Lepisosteus oculatus: one gene and its partners. The protein of the gene in region 3 purifies or fractionates together with the protein of the main gene of each other region. This does not show direct contact. Links are inferred from orthologs where the notes say so. Each region holds a gene or a part of one and is shown on either strand. Other genes may lie near its edges. The genes, in order: pdcd10a, strn3, slmapa and strn.

Region 1 (7,453 bases), on a different chromosome or scaffold from region 3:
TAAGTAAAATGTAACTGTAGCCAGTTCCTTCCATTTTTGGCAGGACTGTAAGTGAGCATGTCACTTTTTATGTCCGTTAAGAAGTGTGCACATTTCTCCAATCTTGAGTTCCATCTGATACAAGCTGCATTTGTGAGGTGGATTTTACAGCAAAAGCAATAAACTGCTTGTTGAACAAACAAGCAATGAACCCTCCACTTCCCTCTCTGCTTTTGACAGGTTCAGGCGCCATCGTCCTTAGGACCTATAAATCCTTTGACCAGCTCTGGATGCTTCATGTCTGTCCAGGTTTACTTCCACTTTTCACCTTTTCACAGTCTCAGTCTCTGCCTAATTTATTCTTGTGCATGTTGTTAAATCTGCTGACATCTTTCAACTGATTGTGAATTCAATATTAATACCGGCATGCATTTCAGTTGAATACAGAAATTGCAGTTAGGCTCTCTCAGTGCCTCTGTCAATAGGACTGCTTTCTGTCCAGTTTGCTTGTCAGGGTAGGGGTAGTACACGGAGATAGAACAAAACCCCTTTATAGTTGCAAAAATAAGATTGAATTGTCTTTGAAATATTACCAAATAAGCAAAAACAGAAAACGGAAGAAAAAAATCTAATCATTCCCACACAGCTCTTTTAAAAAACAACGTACATCACAATTTTTTCTGCACTCTTAAATTTACTGCCTTAAATGATCAAGTATTTAATCAATGCACTAAATCAGGATTGGATACAAGATAAGATCACTTTACTGGCCATATACGGGATTTTGTATTAGGAATTTGTCTTTTTCACATACTCTTAACTTGCTCTTCATGAGACAGACAGCCGGAGAGAAGCTTGGGGTCAGAGCAGGCTCAGCCATTTATACAGCATCCCTGGAGCAGTTGGGGTGAAGGGCCTTGCTCAGGGCCCCAGAGTCGGATTCCTGTGCCGGCCATGGGATACGAACTGGCAACCTTTCAGCCACAGGCAGGCACAGATCCTTAGCCAGAGAGCCACCGCTCCGCCCCAATATACAGGGAGGTATGTTCTTATTCCTTGAACACACTGGAGTGGTCAGTGCTGCATATTATCAGCAGGAGAAGGGAACTTGATTGGGAGTCCTCTGCCTAACTCGCCTACACAACAACTCTTTGAGCAAAATCTGGGATGTTAGAAGTGACAAGAACCTCAGTCTTATCCTGGATGGCTCTGTTTCTGCACCCCAGCCAGTGCTCTGTAATGGGAATAGTTCCAGGGCCCCAGAATTTAAGTACAACCTCATATGAACAGGTGTTCACAAGGTGTGCAGTAAAATATACAAGCTTTTCCTAAGAAAGATCTTCAGGTCACCTGAAGTCACACCCAAATCATAGTCCTGATAGTCAAATGTCTTCCAGTAAATAAGATTTGGCAAATACCATTTAGTGTTGGTATTTACAAATACCATTTACAAAATCTGGAAAAACGTTTGCACGCAGCACGTAGCCCCCGACACAAGAAGAATGTGTAGCTTAAGCTGAACGTATGTTCCGCAGCATTGGAAATTGGGATTCAAAAATCAAAGCTGCTAAGTATATATAGCAGGTTGTACCGGCAGGGATTTGATTCAAATGACAGTATAATCATTCACACATCTACCAATACAGTGTAGGAGGGAGGACAGCACATTTCCCATTATGGGAATATCTGCATACAGCTGGTTCAATTATTAAATTCCACACTGAGATAAATATTTTCCAAACTGAATTTGGGTCATCCCAAACACTTACTGATGGCAATCAGCTTCCCATAAAGTGCTGTATAAAGAGCAGGTCACATCCCGGGCATTTATTTTGAAGCATTACTGAAAACTGCTTAGGGAATAAAAAAAAAGAGCTGATGATGTTCATTCTAGAAAGTGAAAAGACAAGAAGCCTGATGACCACAGAGTCATTTCACACACTGCTGAACCCAGCCTGAAGGAACCTGTTAGGAAACTCAGTAAGGCGAGGTATTAAATATCACTATCAATTCCTATCATATTCTCATGATTCTAAAAGTCTAAAAGTTCTGAGACTATTTATTTCAGCATAACTGATACGCATGCACATATAGCTTAATGACTAATGCGAAACGCACAGATGCAACCCATTTTAAAGTAGCGATTTAACATCACTAGTCGAACTATAAAGAACACGAAACGAGATTTGACCCTGCTGTGTGTTTAATTCACTTTTGGGATTGTTACTGTTCTCACCGCACTGTTCACTCCGAGGCGGTCTGCCATCTCCAAAGCTGTCACGGGTTTAAACAGAAAATGGGAAATACGGCACCTTCAGTTCAGGCTGGTAATCACCAGCCAGGCTTCACTGATCACTGCTGGAAACTTTTCCAGCTTAAAATGAGACGCGAAACTGTATCTAAGCGCGATAGCTATGTCGTTTCAAACAACCAGGAGAGGACGTATAGAACCCGGAAAAAACAGCTCTTTAAAATCTGTCCTATCCGCATACCAAGGCCTGGGTGGCCGGGCTTGTCCCTGGGCTGCCGGCAGGTGAGGGACCAGCCCCCCGGCTCCCAGGGCTGGGCCGGCGGACACCTTTCTAACCGAGTTCCGCGCCAACAACAACAGGCCGAGCCGAGGCCCGTAGACCTCTGGCTCACTCGGACGAGGTGCCTTTCGGTATCAGACCCGGGCGGTTCCGATTCCGGTCAGGCGGATGTTGTTTCGGGGGACAAGCTAGAACCAGGAAACCTTCAACGAGACGAAAGCTAACGATATTAATAACAACAGCATTATTAGAAATACCTATTCGCTAACTACTTCACTGGGCACCTCGAAGAGTGACAACCCATCGACACGAAGTTGGCAGAAAAAGGAGACGTTCAGCGCGGTTTTTGATATTTAGTACGTACCTGCTTCTTTCCGTCCCGAATAAGCCCCCAAACTCCGTTTTTATGTGTTCTTTTTTTTTACCGAAGACGGAAGTTTTCTGCCTGACCAGAGACGCAGGGAGTTGAGGCGAGGTCCCCAGTACACCAACCAGAAAAAGCTTTATAGACGGCTAGGTCGGTAGTAGGAATTGTAGTCTTTGGAGAGCCTTTCTAATGCGGCGAAGATTGGCGCTTTACGTGCTATAAAACTCCAAGTACCAGAAAGCATTTCGCCGCCTCCGCGTCCCCGCCCCCTCACAGTGAGTGACACTCCTCTCGGCCAATAAAGTGCACGGATGGGTAGCTCATTGACTACAGCGGGTTTCGCATGTTATCATGCATTTCTTTGCCCTCTTTTTTTTTTTACTACGCGATAGCAGCCCGATTGATCTTCACTGACAGGTCTGAAATCCACCCCTTCGCAGTTCGAAGTAGCTAGAGGAAATACGGCTAGCATAAAGGCTAGCGTGTTGTGAAGGTAGGACGGGAGAGGTAGCCAATGGGTATGGAGGCAGGCGGGATCGGGCTGTGAAAATATTTAGGTCTGTCTTGAACCTGCCGCGGCGTCCAAAAGGAATAAGCATCACCGAGAGGCGGAGTGCTACTGTAGCTAAGCATCCTTAGCAGAATAGCACTTGGTAAGGAAGGGATTTAAATGCCTTATAATGTCAAACCAAGTCCTAATTCGTTGTGCTGAAACGAATCAACATGTTGTCATTATCGCTCTCCGTTTAACTGAAGCATCGCTGTCAATGATGTGTCTGTGGGTTTTTTTTATTCTTAGAGGGCTAAGTTTATTTTTCTCTCCAGTTCTTGGCTTTTGGGGTTTTTCTTTTTTACTAGCTGTGCAATGACTAAAATCTGCCTTTTTTTTTTAGTTACCAAGAGAGGCGGGTTGCGAATAGCAAAGTGGTCCTTTGTTCTCCTGATACCTATTCTTGTGTGTTCCTGTGTGTGAAGTTATTTTCCGAATCTCATATTAATAATGTACGAGCCGACGGTGTGCATGACTCCTGGGTAGTTTATATTAAACTCGTGATACACGTGAATGGCGTAGAGAATATACAAATGAACGGATTAGCTTTCCGAATTCTTATCTTCTTACATTTCACGTAAAAAGCTGTGTATGTTATGTAAAATGCTGTATATCTATATATCCGTTGCCAAGCCGACGTTCTCGTGACATTGTAAATGTATATTTTTAAAGATTAAACGTCTTGGCATTTGTGATCTGTAGATAATCCACCTAAAAAGTAAAAAGTGAGACGTAAAATTGGGTGTAAAACGTTAGTACGTTAAATTGGTATATAACCACATGGCAAGAACATATATTCACAAGATCTTCCTGAATCGCACTATTCTGATGTACGTATGCGAGTTTAAATCCTCTAGTATACAGTACGTGTCAAACAAGCAGCTAGTTAAATACTGTTTTATTTTGTTACTGTCCTTGCTGGTGTGTACGTTGTTGGAGAAATTTATTATTTGTATAGATTTTAGTTTTTTTAAAATTCTGGCGTGTCTCCTAGCACGGGTGTGGATTTCACACCTTCAAAAATTATTCTCACAAAATAAGCAACCAATCTGTTTACGATAAAAAAAATGTCCCGCCCCCCCCTAGAAATCGTGGATTCGACTTGAACCTTCGCTAAGTGTAATGTTAAAATCACTGAGCAGTTTCCGTTTTAGCGTAACAAAAACGGAACATTGTGTTAACATTGTGAGGTCTTTAATTTGCGTCATGTTAATACCGACTAAATCTTCACATGCAAGTAGGGGCTTTTCTTCCATCTGTGCGCAGGCAGAGGACGGAAATGCCCCTGCGTTACAGAAAAAAAAAAGATATCAGATTATTTTAATTTTTAATTCTAGAACCATTTCATTTTCTGTGAAACTGTGTGACAGTAAACATACATCAAGTCATTGATTATGGCAAATAATTTAGGAATATATTATCGATTCTTTTTCAGGTTTTTTAGTATTATTCTTTTCATGAATTGCTGTTTTGCATACAGTATTTTACCAGTGTAACATCACAACACTTTGGTTGTGTGTATTTTAAAAGCCACTACATCCCTTTCAGAGCTTTCAAGTCTTTTATTCAGCTCAATTAATCTAAACGGCAGCAGATCCAATTACTGTTTAAATCTCTGAAGCACAGCTCTCACTGGTGTCTAAGAAAGTTATTCAGGCACAGAAAAGTCCAAGGAGACATGCATGCTTTGTTAAAGAAGTGGGTTTCTATAACCCTGGCACATTAAGCCCTGCTTTAACGATCTAAAGTCTGGTCATATTTAAAACAACGTTTGCTTCTTATAGAGATTGAATTGCCTTTTTTATCCCCATTTCTAGTGATAAATATCTTCTACCGCAGTATGGGCTGCTTGGAAAACCTAGCAATATTCACATATTGAGTTTCTAATAATTTCTAAAGCTCCCGTTGACCTTTTATTTAATTAATCCTGTGGTTTATTTATTAATTGTGCTAAGCAAACTTAAGTGGGGCTACGAAAATCGAGTTTATTTAGAATGTTCCTCAGAAGGGTGCCAGGAAGTACAGAATAATACCTCCTAGCTGTTGCTGGAAAAAAAGCTTAACTTAATCTCCCAGATGAGCCCTTTCATCACACTGCCCCGAACAACATAAAATGGCGCATTCATCTACACAAACAGAAGACGGGTATGTGTCTGGAGTAAATTTATGAAACTGCATCAAATTCATTTGCACACGATTTGGCTTATTATGCTTTGAGGCGGTAGAGATGGAGCTCAAAGTTTAATTGCTTTTGCATCTCTCTGAAGGACAGTCTGTTGTCATTAGCATTCAGGATCACAAGGAGAAGGAATGTCATGGAATGGAAAAAAATTCCCATATCACCTTCTTGTATTTGGTGATGTTTTAAGTATATACAGTAGGTGCATTGCCATCAGTGAAGTTTCAGTGTTTGTTTTTTGGTATCATCTAAATGAAGAACTAATGTTGGCCTGGAAAAAAAAGGTCCAATTTAAGGCATCCAATTGAATTAGCATTGCATGCGTTAATACATTCTTTTTAATTTAAAAGCAACTTTGTTTAACAATGAGGTATCCAGCATCAGGCATGATCATTATGTGCCTGAGTGCTGTTTGGTCAGGGGACGTGTATTAGAAAGGTAAGATAGTAAGTTCAAATAAAACTAAATAATTCTGAAGAGTGAAGGAATCTGCTTTCCAATGTAGCCGTAGAATCAAATAAAATACTGCTGTTTTTCAAAATAAGTTGCTGAAGAATTTCTTTTAGAAATGTAACATCGAGCAGTTGCCTTGTGCTCTTGACTTGCATGGGGAACCCCTACCCTCAACAGTATTTCAGTTACGCGTCTGCTTGAGAAATAAATTAAATGAACCGATGCTGTAATAAAATGGTCATGCTAGCCCCTGATGCAGAATGATGGTTTATATCGATTTATTCCTGTCTCCTTTTCCCATTGCTGAATCATGTCGGTAACGCCCATAATGAGCAATGGGTCAGAACGCTGAAGATGGAGGTGCTTTCCCATCTTCGGTCCGATAAGATTGGTGTTAGAAGGAATGTGGTAACAAGTAAGGGAAGGAAACTGATGGGACTTGTAATAGACTGTGGATTTGTCTACACTGGCCCTCCCTGCTCCTCCTAAACTTGGGATAAGAAAACTCCACTACCTCTTGTTAAATCTGTGGATCGGACCTGTCACTGCGATTGCCTGCTGTGATAAGATTGTGCAGGAGTGTACGGAATACTCTAATTTATTTTTGGAGAATCTAAATTATGGTGAAGGGTTTTTGCAACGGTGATCAAAGCAGGTTGCCATCAATTGACGATTGACGGGGGTTAAGTTGGGTAACCCTATGGGGATATGTATGCATTTCATTCATTACAGAATCAGAGCTATCATGATTAATGAGCCCGAACAGATGTGCGGTAGAGAAGACTGAAGCTTTTTTTTAAGTCGGACTGAGAACGTTTTTTTTTTCTACGATGAGGAAAACCTGATTGTTATTCTGTTGGTTTCTGTGGTGAATTAATAAACAGTCCATTGCTGTTTTTTTGTGCTGCTGTCGGCACTCTTGATTGTCAGATTCCACAAATAAAGAATCTTCTAGCCTGTTTTGGCTAGACATCCCAGGTACCAGGAATGAGTCCGGTATAATAATGTGCAGCACTGAAGTAGGACATCTGCAGTATGTGGGAGGATTGTAACATGACAATTCTTCATTACATGTTTGATTTTAATATACAATACAGTAAGCACATTGAGGTGTATGGATTAAGGTGGGAGTGAGCTGCGATAGGCAATTTTTCAATATGTGGTGGAAAATCTTTCTAACCTTTGACATGATCTGGTTGAAATGAGATGTCTGCACAAAAAACCTTGTATTTGCAAATGCTAATCTACAATGAGTGACACAGCTGCCCAAGCCTGTGGTCTGTGTTTATGCTGTTTATCCTTTGTTTGTACCTCTGACTGGAATCTGTAGCATTTATTTTCGTTTGGTGTTGTGTTAAAGTGACCCTTCCAGCTGTTTTTTTTTTACTTTCTCA
Region 2 (7,988 bases), on a different chromosome or scaffold from region 3:
CATAATATTCAGTGCTGTGTGTGTTCATAAAAGGAAACATACAAAACACACTAGCTTACCTCAGTGTCGTCCACCCCAACCACGATGAAAAGTGCTGCATACTGTCGATAAATGAGCTTGAAGTCTTTATATTCAACAAAGGAACACTGAAAAAACAGTACACCTCATTAGAATCTACACAGCTTCTTCTTTGAAGAGTCAGTCCATAACTGTCTCCAATACGCATACAATTCCACAGTCACAGGCTAGTTAAAATCAATCACATGACTTTACCCTTCCCAACAGTACAATAATAAAGAAAATATAAAATGACCAAATGAAAGGTATTTCATTGGTTTCTAGGTAAGTATTATTTCATGTGGAACTGGGGTAGTTTAAGACTAGTAACATACAATAACATCCATAACAACAGCTTTACTTCTGTATTCAGCCTGCCAGGCGAAAGTGGCATTATTGTTAAGATATGGGACTTAACCAGTGTTAGCACTCTCATCGCCCTGATTATCTTTCAATAACAATACAGTTCAGTAGAATTCGACCAGGGTTTCTGGATAAATACCCCATGATGATTCCCAAAAATCAATTCCATATTGCATACCTCCTCTTTTCTCCGGGACAGGCAGTTTTTAATGACTTCAGCTTCCAAATACATTCGCTTCTGAATATCCAGGTGCTCGTAGTACTTGGACAGGCGTGTCTGACCCTGCTTGTTAACCATCAGGAAAAACTTGATCATGTTTTTCTGGAGGCTCCTGCGGCTTTCTCTCTGAAGAGCAATAAGTCTAAATAAATATTGAGCTTTCAAAAGCAAAAGCAGATGGAAGCTGCAGGGAAGCTGCAACAGTATGTGAACAATATAAACTGTGGCTTAGTGGTCTAATTTGAGCCGTTTTAATACACCTTAGTTGCATGAGAAAAAAAGAGGCTGTGAGGTGTTCTATTACATATTCTATGAAAAATGCAAAACAAATAATCAAGCACACAAACAGACATGGTACATATGGGAAACTGAAGTGGGGAGAGCAGGAACAAAGTTTTCCTTTCCTTTGGGCTCCCTTCTAACACGAGCCATAACTGTTCCCTGCAGTGCAGAGAGGCTCAGACTCCAAACTGGAGCCCAACGAAGTCCAGCAGTTTCTTTTCTTGATCCAATTTTGAAATCAGAACCCGCCTGTATTTTCTTAGCTAATGGTAATGAAATCATGCACGAAAATTTGCATTCGGTGAAACAAGGAAAAATACCTTAGAAACTCTTTATCACAGGAAGGGTAATTGGGGTATCTAATATGACAGAAGGATGCAGAGAGGGATAGGTGTGATGTGATATCCAGCTCAGTGTACAATGCGGATAGTGTATAGGTAGTGTGGAAACAAGGCGCAGTGTCTGATTCTTCAACCTGAACAGCAAGATGGGAATATCTCCTACATCTCAGATCTCTTACAAAGCACAACCAAATCTGTTTACACATTTTTTGTCCCTCCTTGTCTCTGGGGCACTCTGAAATGACAAGTGTGCTGTATATATTAGCAAGGAGAACGTGTTCTTTGCCAATGAGCCACAAAGGTACAGCCCCAAATAACCCTTTTACTTGCATACAGTCACGTCAAACCCCCAAACAAAACAACTGAGACACTCCGAGGAAAGCATGGAGCTAAATGGCTGACGCTAAATTTACCCTAAATAGATATACGAGGAGTAGCACAGTGGTAAGCATTGCTGCCTCACAGAGCCGGGGCCGAGGTTCAATTCCCAGCGTGCTGTCGGCATGGAGTTTGTATGTTCTCCATGCGTTTGCATGGGTTTCCTCCTACAGTCAAAAGCATACTGGTAGGCTAAATGGCTTCTGGGAAAACTGGCCCCAAGTGCGAGTGTGTGCGTGTCTGTGTGTGTCTGTGAGGGCCCTGCAATGTCCCGGAGTCCCTGCCTCGCGCTCACTGCTTCCTGGGACACGATCCCACTCCCAGCAAACCCGAACTGGAAGAAGCGGTTAGGAAATGGACAGGCAAATCTTTCCATGTGTCTTACCGGTGTATGAAAATTTCTCCTCTCAACTGCAACACTTAAAAGATGACTGATCAAGATGGTGGTGTGCACAGACGCAGTGGCTGTTCTGGGTCTGGAAAAAACGCTCTGTGGACTAGGAGGAAGGATATTTCGTAACACTGTATACTTGCAGATGACTGGAATGACAAATAAACGTGAACTTGAACTTGAAAATCTACAACAGGACTGCTCCAGGGGTGGTGTATAAATGGCTGACCCTGTGCTCTGACCCCAAGCTTCTATCCCTGCCTGTGTGTCCGTGTGTCTCATGGAGAGCAAGTTGGGGTATGCGAAAAGAAAAATTCCTAACGCAAGAAATTGGATATGGCCGATAAAGTGATCTTATCTTATGTGCTCACAAGTGCCTCAAGCAGAGGAAAAAGCGCCGCTGTCGTGACGCATGTGCAGCGCTCGTCACTTGTGCAGGAGCGCTGTGCAACTGTCGCAATATCCTGGCAGATCACCGACAATTCTGGGGCAGGGTTGGGGGAAAGGCAGCAGACAGGACGTCCTGCCTCACGTCAGCGGCAGGTCTGCACTCTGGACGCTGGGCTGTGCCCTTTGGCCACCGCCCGTCCCCGTCCCAAAACACAATGACTGTCCTCAAGAAAGTGCGTCCTTTTTAAAGGCACTGCTCTAAAAAAGAGCACAGACAGAACCAAAGCCCCAGGGAACGTAGAGAACAGAAACAAATACGTCATTCCTTAAGGCCACGACAGAGGAGCAAAGAATTCCACTTTTGTTCCTAAAGCAGGTTAGCAGAAGCCACTGTGGGAACGCCATCTACACTCCCTTCAGATTCACATTTGGAGCAGAAGACCAGCTCTGGCCAGCCACAACTCATATGTACTGTACTGCACGCTGCAATAGTGCAGGCAGGACCAGTTAACAACATGACAGGCCAGTCCACACCTCAGCGCAGTGAAATACTCTGTGGACACTATGTGCATGATCTTTTTGTAACATGCACATTACATCTAAATGTTTTGGCTGAGGACGCGTCCGACCACATGACTGCCGCACACCATTAACCTAAGAAAACAAACCTGTTATCTTTTCCCATGGGAGTGGCCGGTGATTAAACAGCTGTATCTGTGCAGTATTAATAATTATGTTGATAGAAAATATATACGTTTTAAACTATAACAGCAGAAATTCTCAGAATTGCTACTGAAGTGGCACACTGCATTGTTTGCTTGAATTCAGTCAAGGATCCTGGTTCAATTGCCAGAAAAACAGTAAATTCTGCATGTTAACACAAGCACTAATTATTACAAATATACCAGACAGCCAGGGGACATTGAACGAATGAATGTGTTCAAATTCAGTGTCGCATCATGCCACTGGGGATGGTCAACTCCAGCCTACTGTGTAAAAAATAAATCATTCTGTAGTCTGTGATAGCAGCTTCTCATCTCTGGTGGAACATTTAAGTATGTACCTATCAATTACTGCATATTCTGTTCTATTAAATTTCAACAATTTTCAAGAACACAAGGACAAATTGTGTCATACTGTCATTTTTTTAGATTTAAATTAAAAAAAAATAATGCACAAAGTTCACTGGCTAACGTAACTTATACAAAAATTAAAATATATTTTAACAATCCACACTTCTGTGGCATCACAGGTCTTGTGGCGTTGGATTTGATTGCAGATTGGGGTATGCTGTGTGTGGAGTTTGCATGTACTCTCTGAGTTCATATCATCCAGTTTATCCCAAAGCACAAGTTCACAGTGACACTGCACTTGACTAAGAAATAACGGAACATGCTTGAATGGACACCTGATCTCCCTTCCCATTTACTGTACTTCCCTGTTTATCTCCATAACGTTTGTATCAATACGAGCTATTAAAAATGCAATAAGAGGAGCCCAGATTTGTTTCACTAGGCGACCTCATAACTTCACTGGACATCACATCAACCTCGATTCTCGGCTCAGACAGAACAGCGAAGTGCCAGCTACTGTTCACCGAGTCTACTTAATACAGCATGCTCGAAGTATAATCCCCCTAGATACACTCCTGGATTTCGGAGTATTCTACAAATGTTTCAGAATATCGGGATTGTGCCCCCTGTACATCCAGCTCTTGTACCATGCGCTTTTGTTCTCCGTCGCAATGAGCGAGATGACGATTTTGTCAAGGTGCGGACTGACACCTCCCAGCAGCCCGAGAACCCGCTCCGGTGCGACCAATTTCTCACACAATGACAGGCGCAGGAACGCGAAATATAAAACACGGAGCTCCCACGTTTTATTTCACCCCATATAAGGTCACGTTTTCATTTTGTGTGTGTGTGTGTAGAAAATCCACGCGAGAAACGAAAACCGACGCGCACGTTGCCAGCTCTGCCTACGGACGACCTGTGCGTGCAACGGAGCCTTTATTTCTTTCTTTCTTCCGTGCACATTCTCGGACTCTCTGTCAGCACCGGCCAACATAACGCTTGAGCTCTCCCACGTTTTACGAGGTGCCTGGGAACAGCCAAACCGCCGTCCCCCCCCAGCCCGGCCACCATGTAAGACGGCACGCATGCCCGGTGCCTGCCAGGTCTGTATTTGGATATAAATGAGAAAAAAAAAACCGCCTGGTGAGTGTGTCCCGGCATGCAGCGCGGGCCCATTCTCCCTCACCCCCGCAGTGAGGAGACAGGCTCACATCCAGGGACTGTAATGGCGGCCGGCAGCTCGTTGCTTCTCTGACACACAACCCAAACACCACCTCACAACAGGCACCTCCGCGACCCCAGCTGGGGGGGGGCGGCGGCGGAAAGGGCGCTTGCGAATTGCACACGGCGGCGGGGCACTCGTTTGGGGGCAAGCACAAAGAGAGAGAGAGAGAGCGAGAAGAGCGAAGGGACCTGTGCGGCATTAGCTGTCGCTGGGGCAAATTTTTTTTCTTCTTCCCTTTTTTTTTTTTAAAAAAAAAATGGATGAACACCCGGGAGGAGGTGGAAGTGGCGGAGGAGGAGTAGGAATGGCCGCGCCGAGGCAACAGCAGCTCCAACAACAACAACAACAGCAGCAGCAGCAGCCGGGGAATAATAATAACAACATGAATCCCCAGTCCGGGGGAGGAGGGGGTGCCTTGGTGGTCCAGCAGCAGCAGCCGCCGCAGCAGGACGAGATGCCTCGGCCCCAGCAGTACACTATCCCGGGGATCCTGCACTACATCCAGCACGAGTGGGCCCGGTTCGAGATGGAGAGGGCGCACTGGGAGGTGGAGAGGGCCGAACTCCAGGTATCGGATCACGGCACTTTCGCAGTATTTCGCCCCGCCGATAGCTAGAGGCAGTCGGGGCTGAGCACGCCCCTTGCTACAGAAAAGGCGACGCACGGCCACGACTGCCCGAAAATAATATTTCGGAAGTGGAGCGGCGGAGCCGAAGCAAAAGGAAAAAAAATAAAAGAACCCCCCCCCACACACACACACACGATCTGCGTGGTTTTTTTAATTTTTTTTTACCTGCTTGCTCTGGAGTGAAGGTCGGTCTGGGGGCTCGTTGGGGTTTCCCTTAGCTCTACACCAGGAGAGGGGGGGGGATTAAAACAGGAAAACCGAGCGAACCAGTAACTCGCGTATAGAGGGATCCTCTAGGCGGCCATTTTGGTTGTGCCAATATGGCGTCAGGCGGAGGGCCGCTTTCTGTTACAGTACTGCGCGGTGCAGAACCGACGCAGCAGGCCGGCAGCTCGGCCCCCTCCGTACACGAGCAGGGCTCGGGCCCTGGGCTTTGCAGGAAAGCCCGGGGGGGGGTCTCTATGGGGGGTGTCTTAATTGCTGCAGCGTGTGCGCTGGCCAGGCAAAGGCGAGCTGCAGCCTGGCGCCCGGCTCCTAGTGCTCTGCGCTGCTTGGACGAGTTCACCCACTCCCCTTCACGGATTCACCGGAGGGGAAGCGGCTTCACTCCTGTCGGCGGGGTGGAGGTGGTGTGATAACAACAGCGGTCACGGTCGTTGATCACGGCCGTGGCTTGTGAAGTCTGTGATTGTTGTGTGATGGTGGAGCGCGTCACCCGACGACTTCTTGAGCACCGTGCATTGAGCCAACAGGCGCCCCCGAAGCCCCGTTAATTTAGAATCGCCCCCCGAATTAACCGTGTTTTGTTGTTGTTGTTTTTTTTTTTAAATGACACAAAGGGTTGCCACGAATCGCCAGGGACGCAGACGCGGGGACGTGTCCGTGTCTCGCAACACCCGCTTGATTTAGATTCGGGTGGACGCGCTTTGTGCAGCCGGCCGGACTGGGGGAGGAGGGTGGCGGCGGCGGCGGCGGCTTGTGTGTTAGTCACAAGTGCGGAGACGAAACAGTGTGAAAGTGCATGGCTTCGTAACGTCCCCATCACATGCCCTCGATTACTACTCGGGTTAAAAATAGAGCCCCCCCCCCCAACTTCCTAGTGCCAGCCGGGCAGTGAGGTGTGAGGGCCCGTCTGTGCAAAAGTGTTGCGCGTGTGATATAGGTCAATAGCTGCTGTTCTGCATTTGGCTTTTTTTGACAGCTGCGTGCCTCTCTGTTATACAACGGGTGGGCAGAAGCTTGCCGGTTTACCCTACCGGACAGTTGCAATCCATCTACTGCTTTTAATTCAAGTTCATGTTTTGTTAGTATTACTTAAATGTTTGTTTTAAATCTGCATCATGTTTATTACGCTCTAGATTGAAACGGTTTTTGATTATTCAGTGGTGGCCTCTTGGTCATTCATGATGTCTCTGACATCCCCAGCGAGTGCGGGATCAGAGTTGGTTCTGATGACATCACTTGTCGGGAAGCCTGGGAACTTTCCCAGAATTGTGCTAATGTGTTGTGTGAAAACTGTGGAAAGATTCATCTAGTGATTCATCATCATGCTCTTATTGCAGGTTACTACTGTGTCTTGAACTAAGGAGCTATTTGAAATTAAGATTCAGCTGTGTGTGTAGCCTTAGTCTCTCTTGTTATGCTGAGGGAATTTGAACATAATTTCACATATTCCTACGGAGACCTAGACAGACTCAGCTGTATTTGCATACAAAATATTGCTTGAAAGTTTTGTCATGTGCATGTATATTTCAGAATGGTAACTATATGAAAATTGTCAGATTTACTAAGGACAGATACTGAAGTTATGAAATTTCTTTATGGATTATTGCAGTGTTAAAAGATACACTTTAAAGCCATTCAGAAGTGCTAAAATCTGTGGATAGAAATTCAGGGCCTTTTAATCACTTGCTGTGTTCCTGTCAAAATGATAAATAACTCTACGGGTCTATAATGCCTATAGCTACCTTCTGAGAACACCATTTGGCACTAACTGCAGATTTTGTGAAGGTTTACATTCAAAATAAAGCTGGTACACTAAAATGCAGTTACTGTTTTATACTAGGTGTAATGCACTACATTGGGAATAGTCTTCCTTTTTAAGAAGGCTGCCCAACATTTTCTCATACAGTGTTGTTATGCAAGTGTCTGGTCTGTGAAATTGATCACACTTCAATCACATTTTGTTGTGCTGGATGTCGATGCATATATCCTCGTATGTGTTGTAGATGGCTAGCTGCAGACGCTATCTTCTCAGTGCCAGTTGTTTGCTAAACAGTTTCCCTGTTATTTATAAAACACTTGGTCCCTCAATATTTATACAAACAATATCTGTGCTCTCTCTCTGTCTTCAGTGGCTGTAGGAGTCCATCTGTGTAGAGGCTTCTGGTAGAAGGAAGGTCATGTGGGCAGCATGAGGGAGTCTTGCTGTTTAAATCTTCTTAATCTGTTTACTAGTGAAAAGAAAAGCAGAACTGACCTGTGATTATGGCAAGACAGTGGCCGACCGGTGATGAGAAAATGCCTGGGAGCAACAACAAGTCCATTACTGCAACATGTACCTTAAAAAAAAAAAAGCTTGCTTCTTAGGGAAAAGGGGCAGATTGGACATTCTACTGCAGGAAGTGCTGAGCATCAACT
Region 3 (7,094 bases):
ATGTAGAACCCCTGATCAGAGCCCTGCTCAATTACACATTTAAATCTCAAATGTAATTGGGGATACAGAACGGGATAAAGTATTTTTAAACAATATCTCAGCACAAAATGGCAGTTGGCACTGGTTGTCTTCAGTCAATATCTAGGAATCTATATTAGTTGTTAGCCCTGCTTATTACAAATAACTTATTTTCAAGAGCCATTTGATTTATTTTTTTTTCACAAGCAGCCATTTCTGTAAACCCAAACCAGCACATACCTACCTACACATTATCTCGTTAGGAAGTGACATTTTCTGTCCTAAATTAAAAGGAACCCGGCCAAATGCAGCTCAGTCAAAAAAAAAACCTATTCATGCCTCAGCTGCAACGGCACAACACTGTGATTTGAAGGGGACTGAGAATATAAATGCCTGTCAACAGTCACGTCTCCCAGGCATGCTGCGGGCAATATTAAAGCCAAGAGAAGAATCAATAGACGTGAATGAGGGGGGGGGATGACATTTTAAATATTAAATTTACACCAGGTTGATCTGTAATCTGTAGAGACTGGACCTAGTCATAGTCATCAGACGGGATTTCACATGTAAACGGTGCAGCAGCACATTCCCTCCTGCGTCTCACATCGTGTCCTTCCACACTGCCATCCATGTTGCTCACATGGATAAGGACCAAGCGTCGTCCGTCTTAACGGCGATCTCGGGATTGCGAATGCTTAATGAGGGCACATGCAAATGACACGGCGCTATGTGGGTGGAGTGCGATAGCCAGCTGCCCCTTGCAGCGAGAGTAGCTCCAGATCTGCAGCCAGCTGTGCTCAAATCAAACCGGAATCGTCCCCCTCCACCCCCCGAATCTGCGGGTCTTTCCATTTGCCTTGCAGGTTGTGTCCGCTACCATACAACGAGAGAAGCCAGGCAGCGACCGCAGACCACCCTGTAGTGCCAACCTACACGGAAACCCAGCTTTAAAGTCTTCAACCGGTAACAAAAAAAAAAAAAACAAAACCAGCAAGCCGATTCCTCACCTGCTCCACCAAAGATCGTCCGCTTTGATTCTCCGGCACTGAACCTGCTCTGTTACCCTTCTGGTTTTCTCAACACACGTCTTAGGTGTGCTAACCGCCCTCCTCCCGCGCCGTGCAATTACTAACAACCCCTTCACAAGCCAACAACTCCCTATCCAGGGCCCTATTCCCAATGCTGGTTTTCCACAGGCTGTTGCATCGGCTATATTCCCCCAACATGGTTTCCAGGCGAGGACAGAGGTAGCCTGGCGCTTGAGGGGGGGGGAGTGACGCTCGGCATGCTTTAATGAAGAACGCCATCAGGAGGAGGAGGAGGAGGAGGAGAGGAAAAACAGCAGCCAGGTAACTCGCTACACACGTCCCGTCCCCCCCCACCCCGGTGCAAGCCCGCAACCCGCGCTCGTTGCCCAGGGCGACAGCCCGCTCGCTCGACCCGTCCCGCCCGCCTGAAAAGCGACGCCTCACCTTGCCCGTCTTGTGGTCGAACCACACCAGAGCGTGGTTCCTCGACAACACCTTGCAGTCGAACGTCGCGTTGTTCTGGGCCGGGCGGCAGCGAGCCACGGAGCGCCCGATCTTGACTGGCTCGTCCAGGTACACATGGCGTTCCTGAAAGGGGTGTGAATTCGGGCGGCAGGTAAAGACAGCCAGCGCTGAAGGCATTGATGATGACTTGGGGGCGTCGCTCCAACCAGACACGAAAGGCGAGGCTGCTTGATCCAGACTGGCAAAAACTTTCGATTCTCCCCCCAATTTCGGTTTCCAAGGAAAAAACCCCCCCAGAAAGAGGCGATTGCGGGGGGGGGGAAAACAAACAAAACAAAAAAAAGGGGGTGCTATACTACATAACGTCTTTAAAAAGATCTAAGTGCAGGCCATCCTTTCATCCGTCAGCAAGAGACCCATTGTGTCATACAAAATCCGCTGCGCTCAGGAATACCTTCTCTTCCATAAAAGTGTTATCCCACTTGCAGGCACCGCCAAAGCCTTGCTCATCAGTCAACATTGAGGGACTTGATCTTAAGACAAATGTACCCGATTCCCCAAAGGTACCGATAAAAAAAAAAACAAGATCGCTGACTCGCAGTGTCGAGTGTCACGCGTGAAGATTTTTACACATTACAGGATCAAAGATGATCATTTCACCTACGCGCCCGGTGATTAAGACTCCTCATTGAGGGAGACTTAGCTCGACCACCTCATCACCCTCCCCGATCTCCACCGGCTAAAACCCCCGTCACCCCCTGAGTGTTAGTTTCTCGTTGTTTCAACACAGGCGTTAGGCCAAAAATAAACACACACACACAAGTTATCGCACAAATCCAGGAAAAAAAAAAGGTATTTCCCCTCTTCTGAAATACCACATTAGCTGTGAGGCTCATTTACCACTCCCCGTTTCAGAACAGCCCGAGTGTTAAGTCAGCTTCAGCACATTCGTCTGTGGCAAAAAAATGCGCATTTCTTCCTCCTTTTACGACCAGATACCGACGAGAGAAACAATTCCGTCTCTTTGACAGTTTCTACTGCATGCCTGAGTTTATAAATCCCCCAGCTGCCCCGATGGGCCTTACTCGTGAAGTGAGCTTTAAAAACAAAAAAAATCCTTTTCACTCCCGGGAGCTGTAAGCGGGGCTGCAGCGCAGTGAACTTTCCTGACCCGAAAATCAAAACAAATCCCCTCCTTTTTTTTATAAGCAGACGCGGAAATTTTAACACGAAAAAAGCTTTCGCTGCCGCTGTTGTCTTCTTCCGTGGGATCTGGAACAAATTTCGCGTTAAGCCATAAAGTTACCTTGGCGTTCAGGAAGGTCCCGTGGAAATTGCAAAACACTCTGCCGGCAGCAGTATTACTGCCCACCCCGGTTAAACTGAGGACAGACCCGGACGACTTGCCCTCCTCCTCTAGTAACAGCCGCCATACTGGATATGAGAGACACACTCAGACCGGGCTGCGTCGCACTCAAGCACGCGACTGGCTCAACGTCGTAAAGAAGGGGGCGTTAACCGAGGGCTGAGACGGACAGGTCCTCCTCCAATGAAGCGCGAAGCTTCGAAAGCAGTAAACCAATGACAGCAAAGCAGGAGACGGAGGTTCCTTCTAGCTGTTGTAACGAGGTGGTTGGAGTGGACACGAGCCAATAAGAATTCCGGATATGAATGCTTGGTACGCCCCATAAACGCCCAGGGTTATGTGCTGAGGAAAATGCGGAGCGTTTTTTTAATATGTAGCAGCTCTGTTGCAACGTCATGCTATCGGATCTACGTCGGTGTGGGAAAAGTAGTTGTGGCAGTCTGCTATTTGCACATTAAAATGAATCGAGTTGAAATTAATAGTTTCAAAACAGACAACAGGTTTACAATTGAGATATTTCGAGTTCATGAAAGCTCAAGTCATTGAAGAAAATGTTCATAGGCATACCGGATAAGACTGCTCACATAATTAAAAAAATGCTTAATAACAATGGATGAACCCTTTCTTTCACAAGGGGACTTGGCTCCATATAAAAGTGTGCTATTTTTATAGTTCAGAGTAGATTGAAATTAAAATAAATATAAGTTTAAAAACGAATCTCTAAGTATATATGTTGGAAACAAACCCAATAGGTTTCCGAATATAAAATAGCCAGGAACTACTAACTGAATGAATTCAGTGAGCGCTAACCTCTCCAGGAGTCTGCTTTCATATAGCTCGAAGTAAAGGGGTATGGACTAGTGTGTTGATAGAAACAGCTGTCACACCAAACGGGGTTGCCCAGTTAGGGTCTAATATCACCCTGGACAGGCTAAGCCTATTGCTTTATGCTGTGTCTCTAAAGAGAATTAAGGGATTTATTCCTTTCTAAATGTAATTAATTTGACCCGCAAGCAGTCAAATACAATCATTTCTTTTGGATTTACGCTTTTCAGGGAAGTAGAGGTCAAGGTAAAAAAAAAAGCCTATTTCATTCTCCCTCCCCCCCCACACACAATTATCAGTAGTCCCTGTAGCTCTTAAAATCTGTAATGGCTGAAATCTCTCTGTAATAGGAATTCCATTTCCATTCTTTTCATTCTCTGTCGAAATACATCACGCACAGTCTGAGCTCTGTAATCCAGACCCTGCCATTTGGAGTCACGAAGCACAGTCTCCTATGCTGAAACAAAGGCATCCGCACCTAGGCCAAGCTGATTGACGACTGACAATTGACGAGCTGCAATTTCTGAAACAAGTTCTGTTTTCACGGCAGCACGGTGCCCTAGTGGTTCAACAGTTTCTGACCCAGTGGTTAATTGGCTTCTGGGAACATTGGCCCTGGCGTGAGTGGACTTTGTGCGTGTCAACAAAAAGGAAATCGTTCCATCTATGGCCATCTTAATGCCTTTTCAGAACAACTGTGCACTTCAGAGCTGTCTCAGGAGAAAGGCATGTGTTCCACTGCTGTCATCTCATTCTTTGCAAAATCAATTTTTGCAAGAGCAATTCACAGTAACAGAGGACGTGAAGAAGGGTGTTGTGTATGCACATTTATTTGTTTCTTAGCGATCATATCAGGAGAAGGATATTTGTAACCAAGATCCCTTCCACTGCTTACAAGGATGACTGGTCAAGGAGCAACGGTTGGACCAGCACTGGTATTAAGCAGGTTTGTTTGGTGCTCAATTGTAAGTGGTTATCAAAAATGAACTTTACATCTTTGTTTGTAAAAATGATGTATAGCCCCTCATTATAGTTGATAGCATTGGTCCAACATAGGCCCTTCATAGTTAAATTATTTGGGAACGTGATCTGTAATGATTCCAAGGCCGAGACGATGAATCTTTGGGCTGTTCCCTTTAAAAGCCATCTCAGATGGAAAAGAGAGCAGTGAGACCTCTAATTGAGCAGGCACAACTTGTAATTATTGGATAGAACTATGCACTGATGTCACTCTGTCTTTGCCAAAGCTGCAAAAAGCAGAGTTCTGATACAAACATAGAAGCATGAGATTTAATCTTAACACATATTCCCACAAGCTTATAAGAAGAGAAACTGCACTGAATGACTACAAATCATCTAGCAGTCTGTTGTTTAACGATCAAATGTGGGCTCTCTGTGATCATGTAAATATGGTTCACTAACCTTGTCATGTGTAATAAGGTACGACAGAAGAAAAATAGGTTCAGCTTACTTTTTTGGGTAATGAAAACAACTGTTTGTCAGCTGGGAGCATTAAAAAGGCAGAGAGCATTATGGGTCATGGTAAATTGTTATGTCAGGCTTAATATGGGAAGATCTTGCAAACATTTTGTTGCTCAAAGGAATAAAGGTGGAGCAAGAAGAGATAGGAATCATAAAAATGTATTTATCTACTTAAGCCAAGGTAGCCCTTTTTTCCTCAAAATAAGCATTACAGACTCTAATATGGAGCCAGGCAATTTTAAAGCAGGAATGATTTGTTAAAATCCATTGAAAAGCATTTACAACACAGTATGCCCTTGTTAAACTTTTTGTGATCTCTGTCTCAAACATGAGATGAGCATCTCTACGCCCCAATCAAGGTTTGATAAAACTATGTACAGGATAGCATATTTAATATATCTTTTAATGGGAGTATTCAGTCTAAATTAATCAATTTATTACCCAACTCCAAATTCTGATGTTTGATCATGTCTGAGCAGTGGAAAGACGTTGATTTAACTAGTGTGCTGGTGGAAGAGTAAGGTGAGCAGGTGACCGAGGCACATTTTGGCTTAGAGTTTTAGGGAGTTGATGAATGACTAGGGACTTATATTCAACTCCAAAATTAAATCTAACTTGCACATATCACTATACTATGGTGCAATGCTGAGAATCTTAGGAAGATTAATTTTACTGGCTGGTCCTCTTGTTATCTTTTAGTAAAATATGAAATCTTTAAACATTTTTAAGGATTTCATAACACTGCAATTATTTTTTTTTTCAGGCAAAACTGACTTCTTACAATCCAGAACCCTCCCATAAAAACTGGACAAACTTTAAAGGAGAGGTAATAAGTCCAGTTATGTTTATTTTGAGTGATGCTCTGTTATCATTGTGAAAATTGTGGAAAATGCAGGAACTTAAAAACAAAACAGCACTCATAAGCATTGTACAGCGGGTATTTAATTGGATAATGAACTCCTGCAGTTGCTCAGACGGACTAAAAGAATGAAAGTATTGTCGCTTTTACAGAAGGCTTGACCTAATTGCATTAAGATCTGAAAAATATTGTGATCATTTGGCCATGCTGAACTGGAATATTGAACAGAAAGGATTTACACATGGAGGGTGAAGGCTATGAGAGAAAGGAAATTGGGAGGATCCCAGAAAAAGATAAAAAAATATGTTTTTTAAAAAGCAATTTAAAAACGATTTGATTATGGGTATTCCATCAGTTTTGTTATATAGTGTCTGTTTACATTGTAGTGACTAACTGGCATATTTGCAGATTAATTCTTTGTCGGTTTTTAATGAGAAATTCACATTTTTGTAATAATTTGATGTTGTAAAGTCAAAGATCAAGCATGAATGAAGTCACCGAATAAAATCAGTTTTAATAAGTTAGCTGAGGCATGATTAGAGTTTACGGGAGAAATTGAATCTCATACCACTTGAGGGAACATTCTGTCGTTCGGATGACAAAGAGACTTTTTGCATTTTGAAGCATTGCCTGTTGTCTGCTTTTTGAGAGCCTTGAGTTACTGTGGCTGCCTGTTATTGTGCAGAACAGAAGAGTGGCACTATTGCCAAGCTTTGTGCTAAAGCCATTAAGGAGCCATTAATTGCTGCCCTGATTCTTTATCTACTGAAACCAAGTCTGTCTGAACAATTTCATCATAGCAGGGCTGCATTCCAGTGATGTTTCAGCTGGGGCCCTGTTGAGGAACTACCTGGAATCTAAAACAATGAAACCAGTCTCCAAATTAGCGGTATTTTAAGTCCTTTCGTTCATAAGCAGATTACTGCAATATGAGTTTCAGACCTTTACAAAACATAAGGCTACAAAAGGCACCTGATATACACATTTTATACCTGACTATCTAGGTCTATGTTTATGTTGAAAGCTTAGTAATAGATAACGAGTAAATTCT
Region 4 (7,765 bases), on a different chromosome or scaffold from region 3:
TGCTAGCATACTGGGCTGAATCCTGCTTTGGAAAAAGAAAATCCCCAAGGCTGGTAAAACTTAATGACAGCCCTATATTCTCAGAACATCTTTATCATGTCTAAAGCCATTCAGCAGCTGTCCAGATTACACGCTCCTATTTCACACAAGCTGACTGTCCGAGCCCTCATTACTGAACACATGCCCATGCGACAGCACAGCAAACAAACAACTTGGAAAAGTGCTGTGTAATGCAAACCATAGCCCGACCAATCTATAGCCAGAGCAATGTAGGAAACAACCACAAACTGCTCCTTGCCACTGGATAAAATAGCATTTCCTGCTTTTTTGGCCTATTTTTTTTTCCTTCCAGTATTACTTTTAATGATGTGAACAGCAAACCAAAATTCCACGACCTTACTGTCTTCTTCAGCAAGTGTAAGTCAAGTGTCTAAACCTCCGATTTTCACAGCTAAACCCCCAAGGTGTTTACAGCATTGCGCTGCGTCAGGGTTTTTTGTAGAAACAGTAACAACTGCTTGCATTTGTGTAATCAGAGAAGAGAGTCCAAGGTAGCACACACACAAAAACATCATACATCCTGGCTTGCAAAGCAAGACCGCTATTATACCGTTTGCTAACTAGAAAACATTCATGTCTACTGAGCGTTCACTATAAGGAGAAAACTTTTTCAGTACAAAAAAAGGGAAGAAATGAATTTCTCTCCTGCAACAAAGCATTCTGAACTCTCACAGGCCTAGTTAAACAGAGGTCAACTTTATTGAGGAGGAAGAATTTAACTTTGCAACTGAACTGGCCAAAGCCAATGGTGAGATGACTTTCATTTACTGTAAGTGGCCAGCTGCCCACATCAAGCAAAAAGCACCTCCAAAACTATCGGCATTGGTCCTGAAAACCCCCTGCTGTGCCAGTTGTGCTCTGTTTCTCTTGTTTCCACACAGAGCAGACTGTCAGGCCAGAACAGATAAAAATCTATCTGGCTTCGCCACTCTCTATTACACCTGATCTGTGCTCACCCAAGACCTTCAGTGAGCAGGTACTCTTTGTGGACAAACAATCGCCAGACTGGCGTGCTTTAGGGCAATTTTTGGATGTCGGCTTCTCATGCGGGATGAGATAATTTTTTTCTGCATTCACCACTACGTGGAACAGCCAAGCTTATCGACAGCGCAGGCCCCTCATAGTGCATGAGGAGATCCTGTAAGAACAAGAGAGTGTGCGTGGAGGAGGCAGCAAATCTTAAACGCTGCTGTAGTTTAGATCACCGATCTCAACAAGACCAGACCCCCGTCCCGCCCCACACCCGGGCCCCCTCTTAAACCCCAACTCAACAGGTGAGCGGACAGTCTTTTAAAGACACAAAGCGGAGAGGGACATTTCGACTCCCCCTCTCTCGGAGGCTGCCATCAGCTCCGACCCCAGCGACGCAGCTCAAAATGCTTAGTGGCTGCGGCACCAAAGCTCATGGCCCTGCTCCAGATGCCAAAAGGATTTACTACAGGGCACTGAGAGGCAGTGTGCACCAAGAGGAGTGAAGGAGCGGGCAGCAGGCCCTCCTCAAGCACCAGGGTGCCCTGCACAAACGACAGAGGGGTTAGGGTTGGTTATATGTCAGAGCGCACTAAACTCTCAGTAAGCAGCCTGCTACTTTTTAAGTGATTTGCAGCAGCTTTGGCTTAGTCACCCTGTGTGTCTAATGCACTTACTGTTCATAGACGGCTCAGTGCCGGACTTAACTACTAATGAGAGTTTGGAGGCCAGTGTCTCAAACCCTCTTTTACTATTCACGACAGAATTTAAACAGTAGACCTCAACGTGTTTCATTGGGGGGGGGGGGGGGGGGGGGACTATTCGGTAGATTTTCAAATTAATATTTAGCATCTGTCACGAAATTCGCCATCGTTTTTAATTCTGTGGCGTTTAAAATCTCAGCCACAAAACATTTGAGCGTGGTTGCATCGTATGTGGGAGTCACTTCGTATCAAAGAATTATTGACCTCTTCCCTTAAGACAGAAGCCCTACATCACACCTATCTAACCTCCTTGTCTCACGAATTTACATAACTTTACATTTCAAAGGTGCAAACGGAATTCAGTGCCAAGAACTGATTGCTCTGACACATCGGAGTACACACTTCTCCGAGCACATCGGAGAGCTAAACACGGTTACAAATGTATAAAATGCAGGTCGGCTTTTGTCGTTGATAAACGGAGGGGTGCAGACAACAATTCACATGCTGTAGCCCGGAATCCGAAAGCGTTACACTTCGCCACCTTATCACATCCTGAAACATTTCTACGCCTCTGAACACAGCGAAATGTGTTTTCATGCACAGGGTCTGGCACCCCTGTCGAAACGCAAAAGCAACCCGGTACGACATTGCACGTCGGCAAAACACGCGAAACCTCTTGTTTTAAGTTACACATTTCAGAACTCGTGTCCGATCGCAACACCCAGCCTTGGCCCTAGAAGCTACACAACCCTTAGCTGTTTATGCACTGTTTGCTACTCAGTAGTCGGGGAGGAGGGGGGACTGAGCCCGTTCTGTTCAGTGCCGATCCGGAGGGCAGGCAGGGCTCTCTCCGGGACCGTCACGAACGCGGACCGGACCCAGGCTGGGCGCTCAAGGTTGTTTACCTGTAACTCGGCCCGCTCCACCTCCCACTGGGCTCTCTCCACCTCGAATCGGGCCCATTCGTGCTGCAGGAAGTGCAAGATCCCCGGGATACTGTACTGCGCCCGGGCCGCCTCCCCTCCGCCTCCCTCGGGCTGGGGTCCCTTCCCACCGCCGGGCAGCACCGAGTTATTGTTGTTGTTAAAAAAGACTCCGGGCCCTGCCTGTTCTTCCATGGCCAGGCCAGGTAACAGCGCTCGGTTCGCGGAGGGTTGACACGGCGCTTCTGTCTGACGGCTCTCCTCCGCCGCTTCTTCGCTCACTCTGTGGTCTCCGCCTCTACACGGAAAAAAAAAAATCAAGAGCTCTCTCTGCTGGGGACCAAACTCACTTCTGACAGCTGGCTGTCATTCAATGACGTCAAACCCCATGCACACGCCCATAATACATTAGGCTTCCGTATATCTATGGTCTTTTTACTGCACTAGTTTTTCAAAGCATGATGGGATTTGTAGTCTTCTCAGCTCCTCGACAGTAAAACCACCATAATTCGGGTTGAATTGAAAAGCCAGGTTATTATTTTAACACAGTTACCTCCTGTCACTGATTTCCCAAAGGTATTCACATATAGAATTCAACTGAAGTACACAGATAATTTAATAGATTCCTTTAATTTGAAAACAATACCTGATGTTTTTCAGAGAAGAGCATACAGCACATACTGTACATGCGAGAAAGAGTAAGACTGTACTTTGTTACATGCCAACTTTGAAAAGCAGCATTGGTTTTTGTGTTTGTGAGTTTAATGACTGTTAATTGTCTTTTATACAAAACATATACAAAATTACTTGAATCAATCTGCATTATCACTTCATCATTAATTATCTCTTTGACTAAATGTACATGTATATTATATAATATAGGGTAATGTACAATTCTTCAGGTTAGTCTACTGATTCTGCTACAACTAGAAACTAAAGTGACTAATACTTTACAGTACAAAAATAAGTCTTGACCACTTATCCAATTACCTCTTGTATAGGAGTTAAAGTAATACAACACATGCAACTGTTTATAAAGCACTGTATAATATAGAGAAACTAATGACGCCTGCGAACCAACACCTACTAGTATGTCCAGAAACTGGCTATCTAACAGTTAAGAGCTCACTGTAGCAGCTTCTAGTCATTTAACTTATATGTATTATCTGTATGTTTAATAGAACGTCTTTTAGGGCTTTTGAGAAACTAATTATTTAAAGATGCACAGGAAACACGAACACAGCCCTTGAGAGCAGGAGATGAGCACCACTGTATTAATTAGACTATCTAATTTGATGAGTTTTTCTAGGATTCATATTATCGTTAATTGCTCATGACATTGGCAAAAGGTGATTAGTGTGTGAAACCCAGCTCTGTTTTATCTAATTAATTTTTTTACAGATAGGGAAAAAAATGATGAAAGTTTACAATACGGTTTAATTATCAGAAATGTGAGAACCCTACAGGAGAGTTCCTTTTCTGAATTGTGTTATTATCCAAATGTTAAGACTCACTGCCCAAGGGTGACTCCAGAGAGGTCTGCCTGCACATTGCTATTAATTGATTTCTTTTATTAATCCACTAGATGATGACACCAAATAAATAAATGGTGTATTGTAAATAAATGTAGAAATAAATACATTGCAGTGTCTTTAGCCTGGAATACAGTGGAACTCAAATGATGTCATTTGGGAAAATATGGATGAATAAACTATATATATAGACAATCCATATTTTGCAAAAACAAAATCAGCTAGTCAACTCCAAAACAAGTTCAATTCCAGGTCTTGCAACCACTCATGTCAGAAAATAACAAGTGCCATCTGTGTGTTGTGATCTTTAGTAATATATTTATGCAAATTCTGCTGACATTGTAATTTGTCAACTTACAATGCAGGTTTTTGACACAAGTAGCTACTGTCAAATTGACACTTCACAGCTGTCATTCCTTAGAAGGAAACGATGCTGCAGACCTTGCTGTTCACCAGATGAAGAGGAAGGTGTATCTTTATAACTGCCAGCTATCGAACAGGAACCAGAAAATCCACTGAAAACTCACTACAAGGTCAGCCATGAATGTTGTTACTTTTATTACAGTTTCATTCTCATCCTGAAGAAATGGGTTTTTAACCCCCCGGAAGTCATACATTTGGAACAATAAATTGAGACTCTGCATTCTTTTCTACAGATTTCATTTTGCTGAAAAGGTTGTCTCTGGTGCCACTGTACCGGTTGAATCTTCCTTCCCTGAGACATCCACTCGGTAATTGAGGAACAAAAGCAGCATGCTATGGTAGCCATGGTGATCAACATCAAAAATAAAACGCAGTTAAAAGAGGCCTGTCATGAGTGGGCGAATCATTCAGCCCCCAACATATGGCATGAAATTCCTTTGGTGTGTGTGGGTTGAGACTTTTCAATAAATTTGTTTTTAAAATTGCAGAAGAGTTTCCCCATTAAACATTTGTTAAGGCATGTCCACCTCACAGGTCTTTGAACTCTAAGAAGGGTAAATCTGGCCTTCAGAAAGTTTACTTCGTTTTTCGAACCACAACCCGCCGAAGTATCTTGAGAGGCTCGTAAGACAAAAGAACTAAATTTAACCAGGGCTGTTTATTTACTGACAAGCCTTCCTGGGAAAGACTCTTGTTGTGCAGTATAGATGCTGAAGAAGAACTCCACTACAGAATCTTTTTTTTTCCCCAAAGCCAAATCAGGTTTTTAAAACTCTACAGATGTGCGTAGCAGCCTGCACTCTCCAAAATGCTTTAATTAGATTTCTGTCACTCAGTTGTTGTTTTTTTGCAAGGGGTCAGGATGCAAAGGAGGGGTGTTATCGCGTTTTCTCTCTTTGACCCCTCGGTAACTTTCTGGGCCCACTTGTTAAAAGATGCACTTTGGAATTAGGCAGAGAAATAAAAACATTATCAAAGCCTACAATAATAGCCAGGGAATTCTAATTTTGTTGTCACCTTGACAACAAGCTCAATCTCCCATACACTCAGCTGTCAAAGGTCTCACTGAGGCCCTGGCTACCTCATTACCTTTTCTAGCTAGGCCGAATAGCCGCCTCCCGCTTGCTTTAAACTTTCTTTGCCAAGGTTACACTTCCTTATCCCCAACATTTGCCTGTTTTTTCAGACCTGTTTCATTTACAAAAGGTACCTAAAGGCAAATGGCTTTTCATTGACTCAGTGAACAAACTGGCTAATCCTGAAAAGATACGGTAGCCTAGTGTGGGCTAAAACGTGGAGACGCACTAAGGTAAAAGTGCAAAGTTGCATTGTGCTTCACATGGAAGGATAGCCTTTTGGCCTTGAGTTCTTTCTTTAACCTTCGATGAACAATTCAGTCATTGTTTCCATAACAAACAAATTTCAGTGGAACATCAAATATTCTGCAGAGCTGCACAAAAGCCATAATAAATACTTAAATTGAATTAATGTCTTCTTCCCGTCAGATCTCCCTTCATATGCAATGGGGTCAGTGGGTCTTTAATTTGCAAGTTGGTCTGTTTTAAAGATTTCGCTTACTCATAACTGTCAGTTTTGTACACTTGAAACCTGCAAGCAAAAATTGCCTGAATGGAGTCCTTAAAATGTCTCAGTTCAGTACCTTGAAGTAATCCATGGCAAACGTTCCTGCTAGGGGACATTTATCAATAACCCTTTGTTAAGATAAGGGCCTTTTAGTACTCCTTGCAGCCTCCAAACTCCGCTAACAGGGCTCCGGCAGTCAAGTCCTCAGCAGCAAAACAGGTGGAGAAGACGGAGCTGATGTATCCTGGAGAACCGGGAGGTGCTGGCAGATGTCGGCTGCAGCAGGAATGAAGTCTGCAGTCAAGAATGAAGCACTTCGGCCTCCGTGTCTTTGGATCAGGATAGGCCTGGAAGCTGGTGAGAAACTCCGCAATAAAAGCACAGGGCAGAGAGCCCTGTCTCGTTATTCACCTCTGGGGTCAGGGACGACAAGTCATAGAGGGGCAGTCAACACATTTCTAACAAAGTAACACCATTTGCAGTTTGATTTGAATGTGCCCGAGACACCAATACGGTGTTCTTTAACAAAATAGATTTGTAAAGCCATGGTGAAGACGTGCAGAGAATCACACAACAGCATTCAAGGTCAGCAAGCATGAGGCGTGTTTGAAAGAATTACTTGCTCTCCCGGCAGAGTCATCATAAGACTCTTGATGCCTTTCGTGTGAGCTAGACTCCTGTGAACTGCCAATGTATTGTAAAACACTCATGTAAGACAGTAGTTCAGCCTCAAGTTAGGGTTGTGTAGGGTTTTGCAAAGGGAAATAATAAACCAACTGCACTGAAAGTGGAGTAGTCTGTTGTGCAGATAGCGGTTTGTATTAATCCAGGGGTTGTCAGCATAGTGGGGGCCTGCAGGCATTTGCATAGGGGACATTTCCACCTGCAGTGCTGGGGTAAGTTCTGGGGAAAATCCCAGAATAAGGATGTCATGCTGTTAGGATCATCAGCCCCAAGAATAGCTGAAACTGCAGAAACTTTCAGGATCTTCAATAATGTACAGCACAGAAAAAAATGAAAAGCAGTTAACAAGTCTAGTAGGATCACTGTAAGATCACCTCTGTATTGCAGATCACCGGGCAGGCACGTGGATTTTATTTTCACCTGGGGGGAGGAATTTAATTCCATTTATTGTTCAGCACAAGCCCTGTTTTATAGTCAGAAGCTATAAAAAGCTCATAAAAAAAAACAAGAAAAAGGGGAATTAACTTTTGGAATTTGCCTTTTAACCAATACTATTGAAAATGTTTTTTTTTTTTACTGCAAAAAGACAAACTTGGAGCACAGATTAAAGCTGGAAAATTGCATGGCTGTACATATTTCTGTTGCACTACTATTATATTCACTAGAGAATCAACTGACTATGGTAAATACTGTACAATTAAAAATAAAAACAATTAGAATTTGTTGCATATTTGTTCATTTCTAAACCTTTACCTCACTTGTAATAGATTACCCATATTAAAACACCAGAGCAATGGAACTATTAACTACATGGCTGAAGCACTGGTGCTGTGATTTTTAGCCCACAGTCACATTACAAAAAGCCAAGCTCCTCAGCTGCAAACAT

What was found.
Region 1: the proteins of slmapa (region 3) and pdcd10a purify together in Homo sapiens (affinity purification with mass spectrometry; 3 studies listed by BioGRID and IntAct, counting the BioPlex papers as one, with this or other methods). This does not show direct contact. The link is inferred for Lepisosteus oculatus from reciprocal best matches to the Homo sapiens genes SLMAP and PDCD10.
Region 2: the proteins of slmapa (region 3) and strn3 purify together in Homo sapiens (affinity purification with mass spectrometry; 5 studies listed by BioGRID and IntAct, with this or other methods). This does not show direct contact. The link is inferred for Lepisosteus oculatus from reciprocal best matches to the Homo sapiens genes SLMAP and STRN3.
Region 4: the proteins of slmapa (region 3) and strn purify together in Homo sapiens (affinity purification with mass spectrometry; 5 studies listed by BioGRID and IntAct, with this or other methods). This does not show direct contact. The link is inferred for Lepisosteus oculatus from reciprocal best matches to the Homo sapiens genes SLMAP and STRN.

Annotation. Positions count from the first base shown.
Region 1 is NC_090708.1:4,828,048-4,835,500, reverse strand, and holds the start of pdcd10a (programmed cell death protein 10-A), read right to left. Parts: upstream 3,014-7,453; 5' UTR 2,875-3,013; intron 1-2,874. UniProt on the Homo sapiens protein: Promotes cell proliferation. Modulates apoptotic pathways. Increases mitogen-activated protein kinase activity and STK26 activity. Important for cell migration, and for normal structure and assembly of the Golgi complex.
Region 2 is NC_090703.1:5,557,959-5,565,946, forward strand, and holds the start of strn3 (striatin-3), read left to right. Parts: upstream 1-4,976; coding exon 4,977-5,288; intron 5,289-5,513; exon of another isoform or gene 5,514-5,919; intron 5,920-7,988. Other genes in the region: ap4s1 (AP-4 complex subunit sigma-1), read right to left, coding at 60-146, 599-766, 2,027-2,314. UniProt on the Homo sapiens protein: Calmodulin-binding scaffolding protein which is the center of the striatin-interacting phosphatase and kinase (STRIPAK) complexes.
Region 3 is NC_090699.1:56,626,903-56,633,996, forward strand, and holds the start of slmapa (sarcolemma associated protein a), read right to left. Parts: upstream 3,009-7,094; 5' UTR 1,689-3,008; coding exon 1,491-1,688; intron 1,234-1,490; exon of another isoform or gene 1,026-1,233; intron 1-1,025. UniProt on the Homo sapiens protein: Associates with the striatin-interacting phosphatase and kinase (STRIPAK) core complex, forming the extended (SIKE1:SLMAP)STRIPAK complex.
Region 4 is NC_090712.1:6,771,011-6,778,775, reverse strand, and holds the start of strn (striatin), read right to left. Parts: upstream 3,007-7,765; 5' UTR 2,852-3,006; coding exon 2,639-2,851; intron 1-2,638. UniProt on the Homo sapiens protein: Calmodulin-binding scaffolding protein which is the center of the striatin-interacting phosphatase and kinase (STRIPAK) complexes.